Mytilus edulis: one gene and its partner. The protein of the gene in region 1 interacts with the protein of each later gene in a biochemical or structural test. Links are inferred from orthologs where the notes say so. Each region holds a gene or a part of one and is shown in the gene's direction. Other genes may lie near its edges.

Region 1 (10,639 bases):
AAACCACATCTTAATTATTTTTATTTGAAAATAAAATTCACAAATATATTCCTTCACTCCATATATTTGTCTACCTTTCATTTCCTCTGTTTCCATTTCTTCTTCCTCTTCCTCTGACGAGGATTCCTCTTCTTCCTTCGACACTTTAGCATGTAATTTGTTTCTATCTTCTACTGTCTGTAATCTGTAAAATAATATCTACATCATTCACTTTACTCCAAGAAAAATTAATATTCTTTGTTGACTATATCTTTAATTTTTGTCTTATCTGATACCTACATGTATGTGGAAAGACCAAGTTGCTGTTCCTTTGCTAAGTTTAATGTTTAATAAACGAATTTGAACAATTGTGTTTTACCTCAGTGTTTCAAGTTTAATTTTTGCAACCACAGGCTAAATTTTTTGGATATTTTTTAAAGATTCTAGTGGCCTGTATAATAAATTCTAACAGGTCTAATGTAATTCTTCAAATCTGTGCTGATGGGCATGTAGGCCATATGTAGACACATACCTAGTTGCTATTGTCTCAGGGTTAACTCCTGGTTCTTCAGATACACTGGTTCGTCGACCTCCTTCTTCATCGTCTTCTGCGTCTGATAATTTACTGTATGGGGTCTTTGGCTCATCTATTTTCATGTGACCATAGTCCTTATCTGCAGGATGATGGGTGGCTAATATGTTCATTTCATCCCATTTCATTCCTTTTGAATGAGGACTGAAAATAAATGAAATATTCAGTATTTACACTTAGATATTTGTAATCATGGTAATAGTAAAGGACTCTAGGGCTATAAAGGCCATTTTTGGCCCCACCCCCAAATTTCATTTAATTTGCCATGTTGTAACTCAATACCACAGACCTGAAGAAAATGATTGCATTTTGGGTCTATCTCGTATATTTTGGCGGAGTTAAATATGCTTAATATACAGCTAAAGTCTATCTACATTTGAAATTAAATTTGTTTAGCATGTAGTGAACTTTTAACAAATACAGGTGTTCTTGCTCATCATTAATTGTTGGAAATCAAGCCTTTTGAACTTTAATAGTGCTCAAGCACAACTAAAAGTTAATGTTTGTTTACATTGAAATAGGAAGCGGTACATTTTAGCCTTGAAGAAAGCTGACAATAATTATACACAATATAACATTCTCAATCATGTTATCATAACATATTTTATAAATCTAAATAAAAATTCAAATACATTGTGTACATTGTAAACATGGTAAAGTGGAAGAGAATATCATATAATCATGAAAATGTACATTTGTATATCATACATTTTATTGCTGCTGGATATATATAACTCAACTCAGCCTATCACAAACTTGGACTACAACTAACTTGAACTATCATTATCTACATTGTATATGAAATACATGTTACTGTTGTAATTAGGTGAACGAACTCAGACTAGGATATTTAGATTGTGTTTTTAACTGTTTCTGGAAATGGCAACACATTGACCATTCTGGAATGGTAACGACACATTTACCAATCTGGTGTGGCATCAGTATATTTTTTGGGGGGTCGTATGGATAGTCAACTCAGCAAATACACCTTATGGCTATTTGTCCCCCATTACTGGACACCACACAGGTTCCTGTTAAATTTTGATGTCATAATGCAAAATAACTTACGCCACAATGGAAAAGTGATTGTTGTATGACGTCAATCAGAGCTCCAGATAAGAATTCACAAATTGGGGTTTTTACCCACCATTTTTTTTATGTAATTGGGTGATAAAGTTTTTTAATTGCATTATCAATTCCAGTTCACCCCTCAAGCAAATACCAAATTGTGTTTTTCACCACCAAGCTCCTTAATGTATTGGTTTTTTTTTATCACAATATTGAATATTAAGGCATGTTATAATCACATTATATCAACCCCAAATGTTTTTCCATCTTAAATATGTTTCTTTCTTTGTATATGTGCTAGCTGTTTTATTTGGTTTGTTCACTGATGAGCAATTGTACGTTTAATTTGTGTCCTGTTTTCAACCTTCTGCCAGTTTTGTATTTTCTCACAACTTATATAAACTGCAGCTGGTGTCACTAGTTGGACAGTAACTTTCTTGATCCCATATGAGCACCCTACTATACAGTTTAGTTGGGGTAGGTGTTGCCTAAGTGTTTAGATTTGTTTGTAATATATGTGAAATTTAGGTGCTGTCAGAAAGTTTTGCCAGTCCTTTCACCTATTTGTCAGATCTACTTTTGAATAGAAATATTAAATAGTTCCCAGATTTAAGATATACCAAAAAACCTTTAGCAGGTTTATAGTGTGGTTTAATGACGGAGACCACATTCAACTTAAATTTACAAATATATATATATATATATAATTCCGTTGGAACTTTTCAACTAGTCACTTTGTTCCGACGGAACTTTTAAACTGGAGGAAGAGCAAAGTAACTAGTTAATAAGTTCCTCTGGATCTTTTTGGCTAGTTAGTTCTTTCCGCCCGGAACTTTCCAATGTCGGAACAAAAGAGCATTTACATATATATATTCACTCATCAACTAAAATGAAAAAAAAATACATCAACTAAAATTATACTTGAATGTTTTTGTTTAATTTGATCAACATAAATCTGGGTTAAGTTGTCCCATATTTGAACTTTTGGTTTCCGATGCTTTCCAAATACATATCATGTCATAATTGATTTTGCCTTTCACTTTTTCAACCAATTTCATTCTTGACGAAACCCCGTGTTTTAATATCGTTCTAGCAATGTTCTTGTTTAGGTACGCAAACAAACCTGTGTGTTCAATGGACACTTCATAAAAACACTAGCTTGTCTTGTTATCATCATAACTTTCCCTCAGCTATCAAAAAGAAGCTGAAAACATGCTCTTATTCAATACTTTACCCTGACGTTTACTTTCGTTTCAATTCATTGTATGTTATGATATTAAAGTCCCGAGCAATTTGAAATCAAACAGCTGATTGCTCTGAGGTGGAATAAGGTGAATTAAAGGTAACTTAAATTACCATAAAAGCAGCCCCACTAACCCAGCCTGCTTTGTTCCATTATCGTTATGACGTATTTATTTTCTTCAAACAAGAATGTGTCATAAGTACATGGATTTACCATCCGTACAATCATTTTCTATGTTCAGTGGACCGTGAAAATTAGGTAAAATCTTTAATTTGGCAGTACAATTAGAAAGATCATATCATAAGGAACACATGCGTACTAAGTTTCAAGTTGATTGAACTTAAACTTCATCAAAAACTACCTCGACCATAAACTTTAACCTGAAGCAGGACGGACGGACAGACCAGAAAAACATAATGCCCATAAATGGGGCATAAAAATAGTAAGACTTGTTACATACCTGCCAACTTTTGAAAGTTCCCATGGTTTTTTTTAGTGCGTGATAACAATTTTAAAGGTTACAATTTTAAGAGAAGTATTTTGCGCGATCTGGATTGTCTAGAAGAAGTGTCATATTTGTATGATGAGCTTACATGCCTTTTTCTTAAGTCTGTTTTTATGATTCTAGTTATTAAATCAGTAGAAAAGATGAAAATGTAGCTAGCAGAGCAGGATTCATTTTCTTGTGTAAGGAAATTAAATGCTTGTTGAAATTTCCAATTTTGAATTATTCACAAAGATGGACCTTTAACAGGTTGGGAACAACACTCCTCATTGGAAGAACATTACAACCCACTGTAAAAATTAGCACCTTTATATTCATATTATTTGATGAAACTTTCCCCCAAGAACTATGCATCTATCAAGTATTAAATCATGGGTCAAAACATGTCAAAAGAATTTTGTGATGTTTCTGAACATATATCTTCTTTATTAATTTGACCCCTCATTTAGAAAAGTTGTTCCAAATATAATGAATTTTCCCACTTTTGAGTTAAAAATCTTTTAAAAAGTTTCTTTCTTTTTTTTTCTCAGTAAAATGACCCCTTGTTTTAGGGACAGTCCCTCATTTAAGGGACACCACTCATAATGGGGGGGGGGGGGGGGGGGGGGAGTAGGGGGAGTCCCAACCTGTTTGTTGGTCTTTGTGAAAAAAAGAATAGTACATTGTGCTTTAAATGATTTAATTGAATACAAAAATAACATATGTTACAACAAGTATTATGTCATTAAATTAGTGAAAAAACTACTATTTATTATCTTTATGGTAGTACTGCATCATTGAATTATGTCAATCAGCCATGCTTTTATCCTTAAGCTATGTAATAACCTCCTTGCAGATGAAGATTCACCTGGCATGTACACGATTTTACAACTAGATAAAAACAACACAAGTTCAAAATCTAGAATGTTAGAATAATCTTCAGAGAAAACGTTTTTATTGGCTTATTAATTTGATCATGAGAAACATTGAATTTGATTGGCTGAACACGATTGTCTTACCTTGGGAACAAAATAAGGAACAATCATATTTTTGTGATGATTTTCACAAATTCGTGTTTTAAGGTTTTTTTTATGATACCCTTAATATTAATATTTTTCAATTAAACGTCCTTGATAAGAGTAAAGAGAATGAACATAGGGCAACATACTATATGGGCGAAATAACTCAAGACTAACAGACCAAGGGAGAACATGTAAACAGGGCGAGTCGACCCGATAACAAATTTAGGAATGCATACTACAAATACATGTATCTACATGTATCTACATTAAAAACATTACAAGTAAACAAATAACGTTCATGTAGATAAGATGCATGAAATCTAATAATTTACATAAATAAAAGGGTATATATTTACGATAGTGATTGTTTTACAATCCTAACTTACAAATTAAATGATTTAAGTGCTTAATCATGTGTAAAAATCGGTGTCAAGAATCGGAAGTTGTTATGAAATTGTAATACACAGAAACAGATGCAGCATACGGAGGTGGTAATGGTTCAATGATTTTACAGCCGGCACCATAGGCCTTCAGAAGACTTGAAGTCTTCTTCCACCAAAAAATGTGAAAACATGACGAACGCTAATTGGATAAACGCCGAGAAGATCGAAATGATTTCATAAACATGTGTAACTTTTGAGCAACGGAAAATTCCAACAGGGACCCATTTCAGCTACTTGATGCAGGGTTCAGAACTTCTATTATTAGAACAGAAGGACATTTCCAATTATGAATATTCTAAAAATAGATTTATGCGACGAATGTAATCAGAAGAGGGTAAATAACGCAAACGATAGTGAATCAAAGCGTTAAGAAATCATGGTTTTGGCAAATAATTGGGTTTTCCTTTAAATCAATTGGGTTTTTGAAACCTGTAATGGGCAATTGCATTGGGTTTTTAATTATTTGTATTGCGTGATCATGCAAATACGCATCTTATCTGGAGCTCTGGTCAATAGTTCGAGCAGGACAAATGTAATTATATACACCTTATCGCTTATCCCCGCTGACCAGGCCGCTTGAACTTTTGACGTCAACAACAATCACTTTTCAATTGTGGCGTCAGATGTTTTGTTTTATTGTCAAAATTTTACGGGAACCTGTGTGATATCCAGTAATGGCGGACAAATAGCGATAAGGTGTATTGTAACAAAACCCCGAGGTTGACAGTTGTTACAACAGCACAAAAAGTTCATAAATGTGGAGATACAGTTGCACTCTCATTTTAAAAGATCATATCTCATATGACTTAAATAATGGGAGGTAACTCATGACGCCAAATATAAAAATATTCTGCCTTCATATTAAAATCAGAAATGTTGACTTGTTTATGTCTAAGTTTTGACTGTTAAATTTCTGTTTGTGATAAAGCTCAGAGAGGAAAAAGACTATAAATTTATTATTATGAGTCTTGAGGTTACATACTGTTGATGATCTGGTTTGTCAAAGCTAGAAGAGGCTTTCAAAATGCCTTTTGGCTTCTGCTTCACTTCTGAAGCCATTTTGTAAATTTTTGACACAGCAGGATTGCAGTGAATATTAATAGTAGACAATTGATTTGTTATAAGTCTGACAATCTTTATCCATATGGAAATTAATATATCTTTAAAGGTAAATCCATTTTAAATTAGTCAAAGTAAGTTTATAAAATTAATTCAATGTAAATACGTAACTGTCCCGCAGAGTCGACTTCCTGTTTTGCGATTGTGAAACTGAAATCAAAACTCTCTGAAATGTAAAAAGAACTTCGGAAAATTGTGCATAGACACTTAGGTATTCACTAAAGTTACAGTGAACTCTTTTCTATAATGCTAGTTCAACATTTACATTTTAATTTCATGCCATGACAAGTTTAAATAATTTACATTTCTGTAAGTTGTAACAACAAACTGTAATGGTGGTCACTTTGTTTACTTGTCTATATTCTATTTATTTGGGGAAATTGGTTAACTTTAGTATGACTTATAGTTCCGTAACTCTTTCTTCCGAGACCGGCCATGAAATTATCCTTGTCGGGACTTCCTGTTCTGGCACGTGCCCCGCCGGGCTCGTTGTCCATAGGAACTATAAGTATGACGTCACTCACCGGGTTCGGGGCAGTCTACACGAAGGATTTGAAATGAGCAGACGCTCATATCGTTTGGCTTTCAAATATGGAACTTTATAAGGACAAGTAGACTAGCCACCACCGTATTTTAGTATATTTATTTATGTAATCGTATGTTCAATCATAATGTATGTCTTCAAATAAACATCTTGTTTATATTTACGTAGTTTTACGTACTTTGTCTAATATCCCAGAACTTGGGTAGACAACGGGAAAACGAAGCCAGTGGAAACTTCCACTCCCGTTACATTGGGGGCTCGTCCGGGATATTTCAGGACAATAACTAAAACAAACATTTTGTTTGTCATTATTTCGGCAATATGGTTGGAATAAAAGGGATTTTTGTATCCCTAGGAGTCAAAATCGAACAGTTTATTGTTCGTCTTCTTGTCATTTCCGCTGTTTGTGCCGGTCCGACAATGACCAGTACTGCATGCAATATCGTTTTATACAACAAAGTAATAAAAGGTGACTTACTTTCAGAAAAAGAAATTAGAAATCCAGATTTTAAATTCCAAATTGGAGCACAAGGTGAACATTTTGTTCACGTTCCAGAGGAAATATGCTGTTTTTGCATACAAGGAAAACAAACACAACATTTTTGCGTACACCACCACAGCAAAATTATACATTTAACTGCATTTATTCGAAGTATTTTAAAGCTTTTTATGGCTTTTCAATTTCCAGGAAGTCGGCGATTGTTTACGCCATGTTTACAATATGACGTCATATTTTCGACGTCAAAGCACCTGCTATCTAAGGAATGTTTGTATGGAGGAGGTACCAATGGGGAATACTCATTGTCGTTCTAACCATGAAAAAGTTGTTTAATTTGTTAGTTCTGTTTATTGGTTCGTATTCATATTTATTGTCATAAATGGATTTGGAAAATCAAATAATTTGTTTTGATTATACTTCAAATTGTTTTGGATTAAAAAGTACATTTTGTACTTGCATTTCTGTCATGCAGTATTGTCTGCATATCTATGTCTTGTCAGTGTGGATGTTATAACAATTATTTACCTTTCTTGCATGGAAAGGAGGGAATTAACAATTCTCAAAACTTCAAAGTTGAACCGAAAGTCATAGGCTATATTGTGCCATCATGGATTATATACTGGAAATTTGTCCGGTTCATTTTAATATTATAAAAAAGGAGTAAAAGTACAGTTTTGTACTCGAGATATTTATATACATAACACCATCATGATATAATACTATTTATTTTTACTTCGATCTTTTTGGAAATAAACTGAATTATTTCAGTTTGGTGGGATTGTAACGTGCATGAAAATAATACTGAATCTTTTCAGTTGCTAAGCAATGTGGCTTTAGCAAATGTAGAAACTAGGATATAGCGAGGATTTGGATTAAAGTGACATTTTTGTCATACAGCTGGAATAGGGTTGTCTTGTACGAGTTGTGACTAGAATAAAGATAACAGAAGAACGTACACTCATTATCTTAGCTGTTGTTGGAAGCTGCTTTCGGTGGTGTATACAGAGGCAATTTTGGAAATACCTTAGGTGCTAGAATGGCGCGAGAATAGGTATATATTTTGCGTATACATTTTTATTGTAAACCTTAATTGGTTCACCATGGGTATGTTGTCCACATGGCTAAGAATATTGTTTGGGGATTACTGGAATACAATGAATGATTTATTATTACAGTCCAATTGTTTTATATGACTTTCTAATTTTTGAATATATTTAATAAACAAACAATCAGTTTGTATGGATTCCAGTATAGAAATGTGTTTTTATATGGTTAAAGTAATACCATGGGCTATATGCTTTCGGTGACCTATAAAATTACATATTGGGGCACCCGATCAAGTGGTGCAGTGCTTGCGTATATAGACTTTTTAAGACTCTTGGTGAGTCAGGATTTTATAAGAAGAATGTGCTTCTTAATTTATTCCAGTGTCTGACAGAATATAGGTGGTAAAACTGAAACTGTTTCAGTGCGTGGATAGCTGGCCACAATGAGGGAACATATTGGATTTTATATTGGCCTTTTTGCCGATAAGTTTAACGTAACTAAACCACATGGAATTATAAATGTTGGGGAACACTTACTTGGACTACTTTACAGATTTGGAAACTCTACTAGACGAATTTTACCTTATTTACCTACCTGGAACCTTGGACAAGATGTGTGCCTGGATGCTCCGCTCGAACTTTATAATTGGATTCCTTACTCCGTGATGATGTCTCGTGATGTACATGTATTTGTGACTTTTGAACATTAAGTGAATGACCGAATATCTTGAACTATTTTTCAAATTATTTATTGACATTAACAGTAAATTGATTAATTTGTTGCTAAAAATATCTGTCTGTATTCTAAATATTGGTAAGTATATATCTCACCGATCTTTGGAATAATGTGTGGGCACATTATGTCTTAAGAGAGGGGGAGTGTAATGGTGGTCACTTTGTTTACTTGTCTATATTCTATTTATTTGGGGAAATTGGTTAACTTTAGTATGACTTATAGTTCCGTAACTCTTTCTTCCGAGACCGGCCATGAAATTATCCTTGTCGGGACTTCCTGTTCTGGCACGTGCCCCGCCGGGCTCGTTGTCCATAGGAACTATAAGTATGACGTCACTCACCGGGTTCGGGGCAGTCTACACGAAGGATTTGAAATGAGCAGACGCTCATATCGTTTGGCTTTCAAATATGGAACTTTATAAGGACAAGTAGACTAGCCACCACCGTATTTTAGTATATTTATTTATGTAATCGTATGTTCAATCATAATGTATGTCTTCAAATAAACATCTTGTTTATATTTACGTAGTTTTACGTACTTTGTCTAATATCCCAGAACTTGGGTAGACAACGGGAAAACGAAGCCAGTGGAAACTTCCACTCCCGTTACAAAACAGACAGAATGAGAAATTTCATTTTCAGTTTTAAGTTTCAGAAAATTCATCAATAGAAGGCAGGTATTACCTGTGGCCTTTGATCATGATGACAATTTTTTTTAACCATTTGGTCAAAATCATTCACAAAACACTAAGCATTAAGGTAAACATCTTTATATTCTTAGGGTGTCATCTTATTTTTAAAACAGTGAAAAACCTTAATTTACTTTATTTTTTAGCGCACTACAACAAAATCTTTAAAATGGGAGTGAACATGAAAAGGGGCAAACAATCAGATTTAATAAAATGGGTTTTGGTTACAGTGCTGGATCCCAGGCTCTCAATCCTGTCTTTTAGGCAAAAGAAATTTCATTACATTTAAATGACAATTCCCACCCTCCCACACATCTCTACATACCTTGTGCCGTAGTTTAAACTAGAGTGTCGTATTATGCATTAGTTTATTTTCTGTTCAATTTAAAATCAACTTCAAAATTGTTATTGAAAACTGCTTAATTTAATACCTCAAATCAGTACAAACAAAATTTAGTTCAGATCTACATAGTACATTTCTTACTCCACTGATAGTGGTTTAATTTCATGTTTGTCCCCAGCTTAAAGCTAGGGGGCCGGGAGGCAAAGAAATAAGGGGTCAATTTATTTAGCACTCTCATGTGAACATTTTTTTTGTTGAACAAGTTGGAAAATAAATGCCAATAAATAGAAAATTTTTACCAGTACTGTAAATTATGACCTTGGAAATCTTAATAACATATCATGGAAACTTTGCTTTGTAAGCGCTTTTATGTGTACAATTCTTGCCAGAAATTTATGAAACTTTTATCATCATGATCATAGGTTTATGTCAGCGATGCCTTTGACACTTTCTAAATAAGTGACAATCAAATGTTTTTGGGATACGATTGCTTTCAAGCAATCTGTAGAATTTTACCGTTGACTCAGGGCTGCATTCCCTCACGTCAACTGTTTTATTCTAAACATTCAGCAACATCTCAGATTCTTATGATTGTTTTGCTTTAAAAGGTAAAAACAAGCAAAAGCAATGAAAAGGATTGAACATAAACAACTTTCCTGTAATGTTCTTCTCATAATCTTCATGTTTGATATTTCCTTTGACTTATATGCGTGTTTTTAACAACACTTAATTAAGCAGTATTTATATTTAGTGCTTTTATAAATTTAGAAACTCGTCAGAGGGAATTCCCCAGTTTTGATAAATGCGAGAGTTCTCTGACAGATAATTCTATT
Region 2 (10,871 bases), on another chromosome or scaffold:
CAATCACAGAAATAATTATATTTATAAGTACCTCTGAACCAGTGACAACTCTACAACAGATTTATCCATCGGATCACGGTCACTAGCAGTGATTGTGATACATGGCTGTGTACAATCTGTATATATATACAACTCGTCTAAACATCAACCCAACAATGTTAGATCTGTAAGTTTGCTTTCGCAAACTTTTTGTTCTCCCCTCGCCAGGATTTGAACCCATGCTACTGAGATATCGTGAATAGTGATATTGGAATGGATATCGTGACACCAAATCGCCTGCACTGTAGCCGTCCCTCTAGACCACACGACCACCTGGGCTTCATATATTTATATATATTCAATTTATGTTCAGTTCATAAGGCCATTCGTCACTCAGCTTTAACAAGAATTGTTGAAGATTTAGTTAAACTATTAATATGGATCAAGGAAACTACACTGGAGTTGTTTTCTTAGACATGTTAGACTTTAAAAAAAGCTTTTGACATTGTAAATCAATCAATTTTATTATCAAAATTAAAAATGTATATAAAGTTTGATTCTCTTTCTTTTGAATAGTTCAAAATAATATTTTATCAAACAGGTCTCAATACATGCAATAAGTAAAAACAAATACCAACATATCTTCAGGAAAAAAAGTCACATTTGGTGTACCGCAGGGAAGACTTCTAGGCCCTTTACTATTTCTTTTATATATCAATGATCTCAACTAAATCATACATCTATAGGGTTATTACAGAAAATATATATCTTACATTTATGTTATTTCATATATTTTCATGAGCTGTCTTCTCTTTGTTATTTGTAAAATAAATCATAAATATTTTAATTTTTAGTGGGCTCATGAAAACTCTTGAATACATGTATTTGCGCAAAAACTAAATGCATAGCCATAGCCTTGATAACTAATTATACGACCCGTATATTGCTATCACGTCATCTTCCTTGATAAAATAACTTTAGTAATAGTGAATAGAAATCTATGAAACTTAAACACAAGGTTTATAACCACAAAAGGAAGGTTGGGATTGATTTTGAAGGTTGTGGTCATAACATTTTAGGAATTAGGGGCCAAAATGGGGCCCAAATAAGCATTTTTCTAGTTTCCAGACAATATTTTATGGAACAGTGTGTGGATCTCTCTGAAATTTATGGTTAATATTAAACCAGAAGGTTCCATATCAAAAAGGGATGGTTATGTATGGCTCTGGGGGGTTATGGCTCAAACCGTTTAGGAATAAGGGGCAAAAAAGGGAGAAAAAAAGGATGTCCTGGTTAATGGACAATTACTATTAAGTAAAATTTTTCTAAATATACAATATACAATCTAATGTTTAACGAGGCCAGGATAAGGTACCGGTACTTTCTGTATCAAACTAACAAATGTGAAAGTTTTCAATAAAGTATGTATAATTTTAAAAAAAATAAAATTAGAATACACTGCAATGGGTAATTATGGTTACGAACTCCATTGGAAATTTGAATTGAGATTTTGACCATATCTTGAGGGAAAGAATTGTTCTTTTGGAAAGGTCGGGGTGGGGGGGGGGGAAGTGAACAAAGTTTAATTTTGGATCAACTTCAAAATTTGGACGATGAGCATAGTGACAATACAATGGAGTCATGGTTCGATCGTCATTAACTTGCAAGAATATTCATAATGTTGACTGTGGGCAGTATTTTACTATTTGGAAGAAGAACTGGTATAGAAGGCCTAATAATGTCTTATATTAGCAGTAGCAACTAGCAAAAGCAAGACAAGATCTACATGTAACTAACATATATATATTACATTTGTATTACAGTCCTAGCAGATTCCTAGGAGGATCTTATCAAGGTCATGGTGAGAACTTAAAAACTATGAAATAATGAATATTCAAGCTGACCATACATGTACCATAACCTCAACACCAACTTATATTTCTCTATAGATCGAAGTAACTAAGAAGACAACACAATTCACAAAAATCATTTACAACACAAACACTGAAAATCAATAACGTTACCGCTCAGTGTTCTCCTCAGGATTTTTCTTAGGCGCAAAATTCAAGGGCACGTAACTCTTTTTTATAACTTTAGCTCGATTGGGATTAGGGAAAGCAATAATATCTACGTATACCATGTATACTGACAGCTGAGTGTAGACATATCAGAGGTGTATTTCCCTTTTCATTAGAAGTCATTGGTCTGAAAAAATACTTCTACTTTCATCATCTGCCTTTTGCTTAGAATTCACCCCTTTGTTATTTGCAGAGAGCATGTTCATTCAGAATTAATAAAATCGAATATGGTTAAGATATTTGGTAGACACTAAAACAAAAATATTTTAATGAACAGCAAATGATCTCAGCAACTTGACCATTTTCCGTAGTTTGACATTTATTTACGCTTCCGTGTGCATTATTGTTAAACCTATCGTTGGCAGGTAGATATAAACGAAAATCGTTAAAGTTAAGACCATTTAAAGTATTTACCGGTGACATTATACAGAAGCAGCGGCAATGCTGTACCCGTGTTGATTGTCACATATTTCCCGCACAGATTCACGATCGATGTTTAAAGATCATTTTATTTCTAAAAATATGACAGTTTGAGACGAATTTACCTTGCAAGCAACATTTTTCACTTTCAATTAAAATGAATCACTCCTTGTTAATATCATTAAACAAAGTTTATTTTAATTTTTTCAACTACAAATACTCTCATTCATAATTTTCATCGTAAATATCTTTAGCAATGTGTATTCAAATTTACCACGTGTATTGAACACGTTCATTGGTTGTGTTGAAATAGATTCTTCTTCTCGACCAATGAAAAAAAATTCAAGTTTTTAAATTTTAAAATTTTCTTCTAAAAATATCTATCTTCTTGATGATCATTTTCGCTATTACATGATAACAGAGTCAGATAAGGCTGAGATTAGCGTGGCTCAGGTAAATCTACTTATCAGATATTGCGTAACACTGACTGACTTCTCAGCGATGATCTCAGCAACTTGACAATTTTAACCAACATTTATTATGAAAATGTGAAATGTACACGCTGCGGGATCAAGTATCAAGGGACAGCCGCCAATTCAGACGCTGCGGGATTTACGAAAATATTATGAAGGCGCTGTGGCACCGCAGCGTCATATCGGCCTGGGGAGAACACTGCCGCTGAACTTCATGCTTGACTTTGGAAAAGCGAGGCTGAGTTTTAAATTTATATAACTTTGAGAAGACTTGCTGCCTTCAGTCAGAGCTCAGACATAAACAAGTCTATTTCTGTTTTTGACTTAAAGAAGTCAAAACATGTATTCTTTATAAAAATGTGTTTTCAATTTTAGACTTATCTAAGTCACAAAATGACAGACTTGTTTAGGTCTATTTATGTTGATGAAAAAACTTAACTTGACTTGGTGGCCAAAATACACCACCTTTGACAGTAAAAACCTGTCTGAGAGTTCACAAGGACTTGATCTATCTATATTTAATTATCTAATTGAACATCCTTACTAAACACAGAGTTTTACCTCATTAAGTGTGGATCCAGGTGGTTGCATTGTAAGGTTAATTAACATGATCCCCGATTTTTCAGACTCTCATTCATATTTTTCTTTAGAAGACAAGGCATTGGCTTTCAATGTTGTCATTATTTGATTTAGATGCATGACCTTTTTATAAGTATGCGTGGGTCTTGAAGTTGACCAATTTTGGTAACTTATCGACTTGTAGGAGTTGATATTTGCAACTTTTTGATTCTGGTCAATCATTTCTTGCTTAACAATATTTGACTTATTTAAGTCGTATTTTGTCTTGCATTAAAGGGAGACAAATCCTAAAACTTACAAATTTAGACATCTATAAGTCAAAAGCAGATTCAGACTTATTTATGTCTGAGCTCTCTGACTGTGGCCTTGCCTGGCACTGGGCTAAGTTTTCTCAGGACCATACACATTCAATAAGAATTTCGGAAAAGCACATTCAGAATGTGGCGGTTTTTAGAGACAGAGTATTTGTGAGTACTCATTCGTTCCTTAACCTACAAGACAGTGTTGGTAACGTCTCTATAAGTATAATTTAGACACTAATTTCAGTAATTCTCAGATCTGCAGTGACATCACAACATGTAACTGAACAATCAATGATTAGCATATGTGTTATATAAACAATGCTGAGAGGTGATGCGGATAAGAATCCTCTAGATTTTCCATACACTTCAATGCAATTAATTTAATTGATATATATTGACGGCAGTTGAATCTAGTAATTTTACCCACTTAATATTGTTAAAGACACTATATATAATATCTCCATTTTGATTTTTATCATACTATATCCTCTGGTTAAAAAATAATCAACAATATAAATAATCAGTTATCACCTTCAAATAGATGAAAAATCTAGAGGAATCCTATCTGCATCACCCCTTGAAAAAATTAAATGCCAGGATGTCCGGATCTGAGAATAAGAAAACAAGTAAGTAAGACAGTAGGAATTATAGTTATTTCGTACCATTGTTAACTGTAACCAATGTTAACTCTTACCACTTAAAACAAATACAAAGTTTATATACATACAAGCGGGATACGGGAATCTGACAAAAGCTTTCGGGTCGATCCGGCCCAAGTCGATCCGTTCCACGTCGATCCGGCCCCACGTCGATCCGGCCCCACGTCGATCCGCCCATATGTAAAGTCGATCCGGCCCCAATAAAAAATATATTTATAAGGAATAAAAATAAAGATATATATTAATTGTAATTCATAAATGTTTATGATTTTTATTATAATGTAAAAGGTGTACGGTAAATAAAAAAAAAGGCCTTTGAAAAATATTTTCTTTAGTGAGTATAAAACAACTAGGTTGATTATGTTTTTAGTACAAGTTTTCAAGATTATTTGGTATAATTATATTAAAACGTATATAAAAAATTCAAACATCAACATTAATCAGCAGTATTTAGCATTTTCTTTCAATTGACTGTGATCCTAACAAGTCTTTCATCTTGTGTAATAACAAATAGTTACATACACAACGATACAAGCCAATTCCCAAGCTGTGACTTTTTGTCCTACCAAATTTGTGACTTTATGTCCTGTGACTTTTTGTCCTGTGACTTTCTGTCCGTTTACCGCTGATACATAACCACAAATATTGTTTTTCTTTAAAGTTCTTGAGAAATGTTGTTTGATTTGCTGATTTTATAAATACAATTAGTTATTATTATATACACCAAACAAAAGATCAAACTATAAAGAACTTGTTGATTACGTAACTTTTCGCAAATTCCGTTTATACTGTTCAAATTTGTCACAAATTCCTCCATACAATGAATATAGTTTATTCATATTTTATTATGGGGCCGGATCGACTTGGGGACGGATCGACGTGGGCCGGATCGACTTGGGGCCGGATCGACTTGGGGCCGGATTGACTTGGGGCTGGATCGGTTTGGGGCCGGAACGACCGGATACCTGACAAAACAGTTAGCGGGATCCGGGATCAGAACCCCCCCCAATGAGACCCCCTTGAGATAGTAATTTAATAATGACTACAAAATAAACAATTGGTGGATTGAACCTGGTTTTATAGCTATAGCTTAACCTCTTATTTGCGACGTTGCGTAATAAGTTAATGTCGCGAAGGCAGTATAGACAGTCAAGGTCGTTACAAACTTCCATTTGTGGTAAATTTATGATTTTGTCTGATTTGTTAAAGGGTGGATGTTGGAAAGAATAAACCGTCTATGCGTGTATTTGACCTTCTTGTTTTATCAGAGGATTTTAATACTATGTACGTCCTTAGTGTATGCTGATACATTGTTTACTGGCGTTGTTTACCTGCACGCAGCACGGAGATCGAGTCCACCATTTTGAATTTTTTAATGTGATCACATGGTTTTTTTTACAACTTTTCCCTGTAATAGGAAATATTTTTTTAAGTTTATACTACTGTTGATGTTGAACTACAATTTAGAAGAAAAAACAATTATTTTTTTAATTTTCTAAAACCAAGAAAAAGTTTCAATTCATAAATTTTCGTCACCACAGCGAAGACCCGTATGTAATATGGCGTCCAGTCAACTGTCAGGGAATGTAGGACAGTTCAACTAAATTTGCCTATTTCCTCGATATCGATTGCCCGTGCGCTGACGCACTCCATCCGCATATGCATTGATGGTAATGCATGCAAGGAAACAGCCCAGACTCAGTGATGGGTAAAGATGATTACATTTAATATGATTGTAAAGTCGGTTGGTCCCTTGTTCCGCCATTTTGTTGTCAATATTTACAAAATTTGCATGAAAAACACATGTTTTAATGTAAAATTACACTTCATATGCTATAATTATGTATTTTTGTGTCTTGCAGGTATACAGATAAGAGAGATTCCCATCTGTACCAGGTAATTTGAAGTGAGAGCAATGAACATCAGCATAAAGCATGGTAGAGCCAAACCCAGACACTAGATTTATGTTGACATTGCACTTTAATGTTTGGTTTAAAGCTGATATACAAATAGTATTGCATTTACACATTAAAATATAGTGTTAAATCTTGATGTAAACTAGTAAACTTGGAATGAATTTCAGAAGAATTGGTTTTTGAAAAGTGATTAAATGATTGTAGTGCTCAGTATGACTTAAAAGTTTGTAAATTTTATCAAATTCCTTCATGGTTACCTGTCAGAGTGTCTCAGTATAGATTTTTGGACTGTACACGTAGGTGATGCACATTTTAGTCACCTATTCTTAGCTAACAGAGATTCTCAAAACTTTTCAATATTTGTCATGTAACTTATGAAGGAAATGTTGGAAGTGCATTTTGTCCTAACAATTTAATCTTTTTTCATTTTGGTATAAATAAGTCATTCTAAATTATCTAGAATGTTAACAAAACATGATTCATCAATCTTTGAGGTCCATGCATGCTATCATGATAATTTTAACTTTTAATTCATGTATAATTTGTCCCTTTTTAAGTGACAATCCTATATTTCACTCTTAAAAATCCATGTCCACAAATCTTAGCACTTGCACCATGACTAGCATGTATACTATGCATTTATAATTTTTTCTTAAAATTGTGAAAACCACAGTTTCTCATTTGTGACAAATAATATGTATTTTAAGTGCATTTAACATGTTTCAATTAAAGGGTAAAAAATCCTTGAAGTTTTAGGAAAAGAGAATACAATTTTTATATCAATGGTCTGTCTAATAGTTATGTCTAGCTGTTAGCTGTTAAAAAACTAATGCATACAAATTTTAACCCAAATGTCTTATCAAATTCAAAATTCCATCTAAGGCCTAATAAATGAAGACTTGTGTTTCTGCCTACCTACATGTACCCTATATTTGGTGGTATATTTTTAATAAGTAAGTATGAGGTCAAAAGTGTCCGTTCTGTATAGACGCAGTCAAAAATAAAAAATAAAAATCCTTATCCTTGTTTTTTCACTATTAACATGATTAACATGATTAAGGGGAAACAGAAGTATTATTTTATTGGGCCTAATAAACATTTATATTGTCATTAGAATACATTGGTCGTTTACAGATTTAACAAATGCATTATTCAAGAAAGAAATGGTGTAGATGAAATAGTGAATTACAATGTACCATCTGAGACTTGTAAAATTTATTTTCTGTTTATTTCAGTCATCCCAGTACCCATCCAAAAGTAAAGGTGAAGGGTACAGACAGACAGACCGATACAAACGTGAATCCTCATACGACAGAGCCAGAGATAGTCCATCACGTGATAGTCCCAGATATCACAACAAAAACTCTTATATTGAGAGGACTAAAGAAAGACTTGAGAAAGGTGTGAATTTTTGTTGTTATTTACATGTAGAAACAGTAATACATGTACAATAGATAATAATCTTAACTCACAATAGTATTACTAGTACTAAACTTACATTGTACATTACTAAACAATAATAAATGGATTAACATGTATAACAACATATCTATGGAATTTGATATATATACATGTAGTGTACCAGAGGTGAGTATGAATTAAATTTTTGGAAAGCTTTTGATGTTTTTTAAATGGTTTAAAATAATGATTTATCAACTTTTATGGTACCATCATGACACCGGCGTTTTCAAAGTGATTAATATTCTTTAACAATGAAATGAATGTATAAATTGTAAAAATAAGATGATGTGGTATTATTACCAATTAGAAAACTCTCAATCTGAAACCAAATGACATAGAAGTGACAACTGCATGTCTACACAGAGGCAGATTTAGGAGGGGGCCAGGGGGCCCCGGCCCCCCCTTTTGAGAAAAAAAATTGGTTGCTTATATAGGGAATCACTGAAGCGTGACGAGATCAGCCCCCTCTTAGGCAGCCAGTTGGCCCCCACTTATGAAAATTTCTGTATCCGCCACTGCTACATATACCAATTAACCATGACCAAAACTATGACGCATAAAAAGCTAAGAGAAATGCCATAACAATTTAAACAAGAATGGTGCGGGAAACAAAACCCAAATTTCCAAATGGATATTAAATAACTCAAGTTGTTATCATGTTATCAAGCGATATTCAATTCTTGCTTGTCATGCTTGTTATTGAACATATAAGTATCACACTCTGTGTCATGTCTGAGAAAATTACGTAAATTTGTAAGTTTTAATAGCAAACATATTGTATATAAATTTAATGTAAACTTTATTTCAGGATCAAGTAATGTCAATCATACATCCAGATCAAATGATAGAAGTCAGAATGGAGGACATTTCAAGTCAAATAGCCAAGACAACAGAGATAAGAAGACTGAGGTGAGAAATAAAATACATCACAGTCATCATAGTAGCTTGAAATCTAGAAAAAAAATTATGAACTGACGTCATCACTAATATACCACTACTTTAAAAGTGGGCAGTCAGGGGTACTACTTGTACAAGTGTATTTTATTTACTTGAAGAAGTAAAAAAAAATATACACATATAAGTAAATTTGTAGGATACTTATACAAGTGAATTTTATTTACTTGTATAGGTAAAAAAAAAATTGGCTTAGTTATGTCCCTTAGGCATTCAGAATTTTTTACTTGTATAAGTAAAAAAATCATCCTTTCTTCTTTTCTTGAATTCTTAAAATTTCCTTGCTCTAATAAAATTTTAAATTGTGTACCCTTTGCAGATGCCTTTACTAATCATTTAAGTGTAATTTCATGGACAATGAAAGTCCCATTTGTCTGTTATCTTCTTAACACTGCTCATTTACAAGCCCCAAAGGAGCAATTTTTGAATGTCTTGCGCAAATATACAAGATCTTTGCTCAATCAGTTTCTTTGATGAATTAATGAGATGAAACATTGAACTTTAATGAAAAAATTTGAGCAAACCTGGGAAAAATCATTAAAGGCATGATTTTACATCTCAAAACTTGAGGATTTTTATTGGATTGTAAGAAAAATTTACTTATACAAGTAAATTTTTCATAAAATTAAGGGGAGATTATTCAAACATTATTTATTTACTTATATGTGTATATTTTTTTTCACTTCTTCAAGTAAATAAAATACACTTGTACAAGTAGTACCCCTGACGGGTCTCTTATATTGCAATCACCTTGACTGATCTCAACATGCTCAATGAAATGACTTTTAACCCAAAGTTGTTATGACAAGTAAAGACAATTTTATTGTTAAGTTTTATATCATTGTTGTTAATTTTGATAGCATGTCAGGGCTATTCCAGAAAAAAATGTAGGGGGAGGGGTTGGGGGGTTGGAAGGCAGTTTTTGTCAGCACCCGCCACCCAGACAATTGTAATTGAGAATAATAATGCATTATAGTGTGAAAAGTTGCTCTGATACCCATCACCCATGTATTATTAATATAATGTGCCTTCCAACCCCCCAACCCCATACATTTTTCTGGAATAGCCCTTACAGCAAAATGACTTGAGAATGTTGGTTAAGGTAAATTTTTTGGTAAGCTCACTTGCTTGCTGAACCGTGAGGTCATTATTAGGTTAGGATAATATCCTTTAAGAGTAGAATAATCTCATATATATATATCAAATATATATGTCTGTAGGACTACACTACTCCGAAAGGAGGGTAGTATACCTAATCTAATAATGATTTCATGGTTCAGCTAGCAAGCAAGCTAGCCAAAGATATTACCTTACATCATGTACTGTACATATGTACTTGCACCATACTTTAGAAATTTGTTTTCATGCAACTGGCATACTGGATAGTGGATTGCTAGCTGTAAACTTTAATGTTTTGCATGCATACATGTAAGGTTAAAATATTAATTATATAAACTGTCTGGACATATTGTCATAATTGATATATAAAGAGAAGTAGTTAGAACAATCTAGATAAAAAAATGAACATGATAAGCATGATAAGAGGTACACAAACAAGCCATTGCTTTTTTCCTTGAAAATAAACCGGGTAAATATAGAAAATGTTATAATTTATATTATTTTTATATTTAAGCTTACAAAAACTGCCCTACGAGTATGTGGTGATTGGTCAGAACACATCAGTACCTCAAAACATACAATGGGAAAAAAGTATTACTACAACAGCAAGACTGAAGAATCAACATGGACTAAGCCTAAAGAATGGGTTGATGAGTAGGTTTACCTATTATATAAAGATGTGGTTTGATTGCCAATGTGACAACTCTCCACCAGATCAAATATCAGAGAAGTTTACAGGTCACAGGAGGACCTTCAACAATGATCAAAACTTGTACTGTATACTTGACTTCTAAAGGCCCTTTAACATGTTTAATGACAAATATAAAACAAAAAAACTAACAGCCTGGATTATGTACTAAAACAAATATTATATACAGCAACACATATAAAGGACTGACTTACAGGCCGTACAGCCTCAAGCGAGAAAAGC

The links. The genes of interacting proteins can lie anywhere in the genome.
Region 2: the proteins of deubiquitinating protein VCPIP1-like (region 1) and WW domain-containing adapter protein with coiled-coil-like form a complex in vitro, tested with the Homo sapiens proteins (2 studies listed by BioGRID). The link is inferred for Mytilus edulis from reciprocal best matches to the Homo sapiens genes VCPIP1 and WAC.

The regions. Positions count from the first base shown.
Region 1 is NC_092350.1:31,932,089-31,942,727, reverse strand, and holds the start of deubiquitinating protein VCPIP1-like, read left to right. Parts: upstream 1-6,050; 5' UTR 6,051-6,161; intron 6,162-10,639. Other genes in the region: protein phosphatase inhibitor 2-like, read right to left, coding at 75-184, 512-715, 5,814-5,890. UniProt on the Homo sapiens protein: Deubiquitinating enzyme involved in DNA repair and reassembly of the Golgi apparatus and the endoplasmic reticulum following mitosis. Necessary for VCP-mediated reassembly of Golgi stacks after mitosis.
Region 2 is NC_092357.1:51,364,624-51,375,494, reverse strand, and holds the start of WW domain-containing adapter protein with coiled-coil-like, read left to right. Parts: upstream 1-6,024; 5' UTR 6,025-6,157; coding exon 6,158-6,198; intron 6,199-6,352; coding exon 6,353-6,386; intron 6,387-7,641; coding exon 7,642-7,807; intron 7,808-8,675; coding exon 8,676-8,776; intron 8,777-10,454; coding exon 10,455-10,594; intron 10,595-10,871.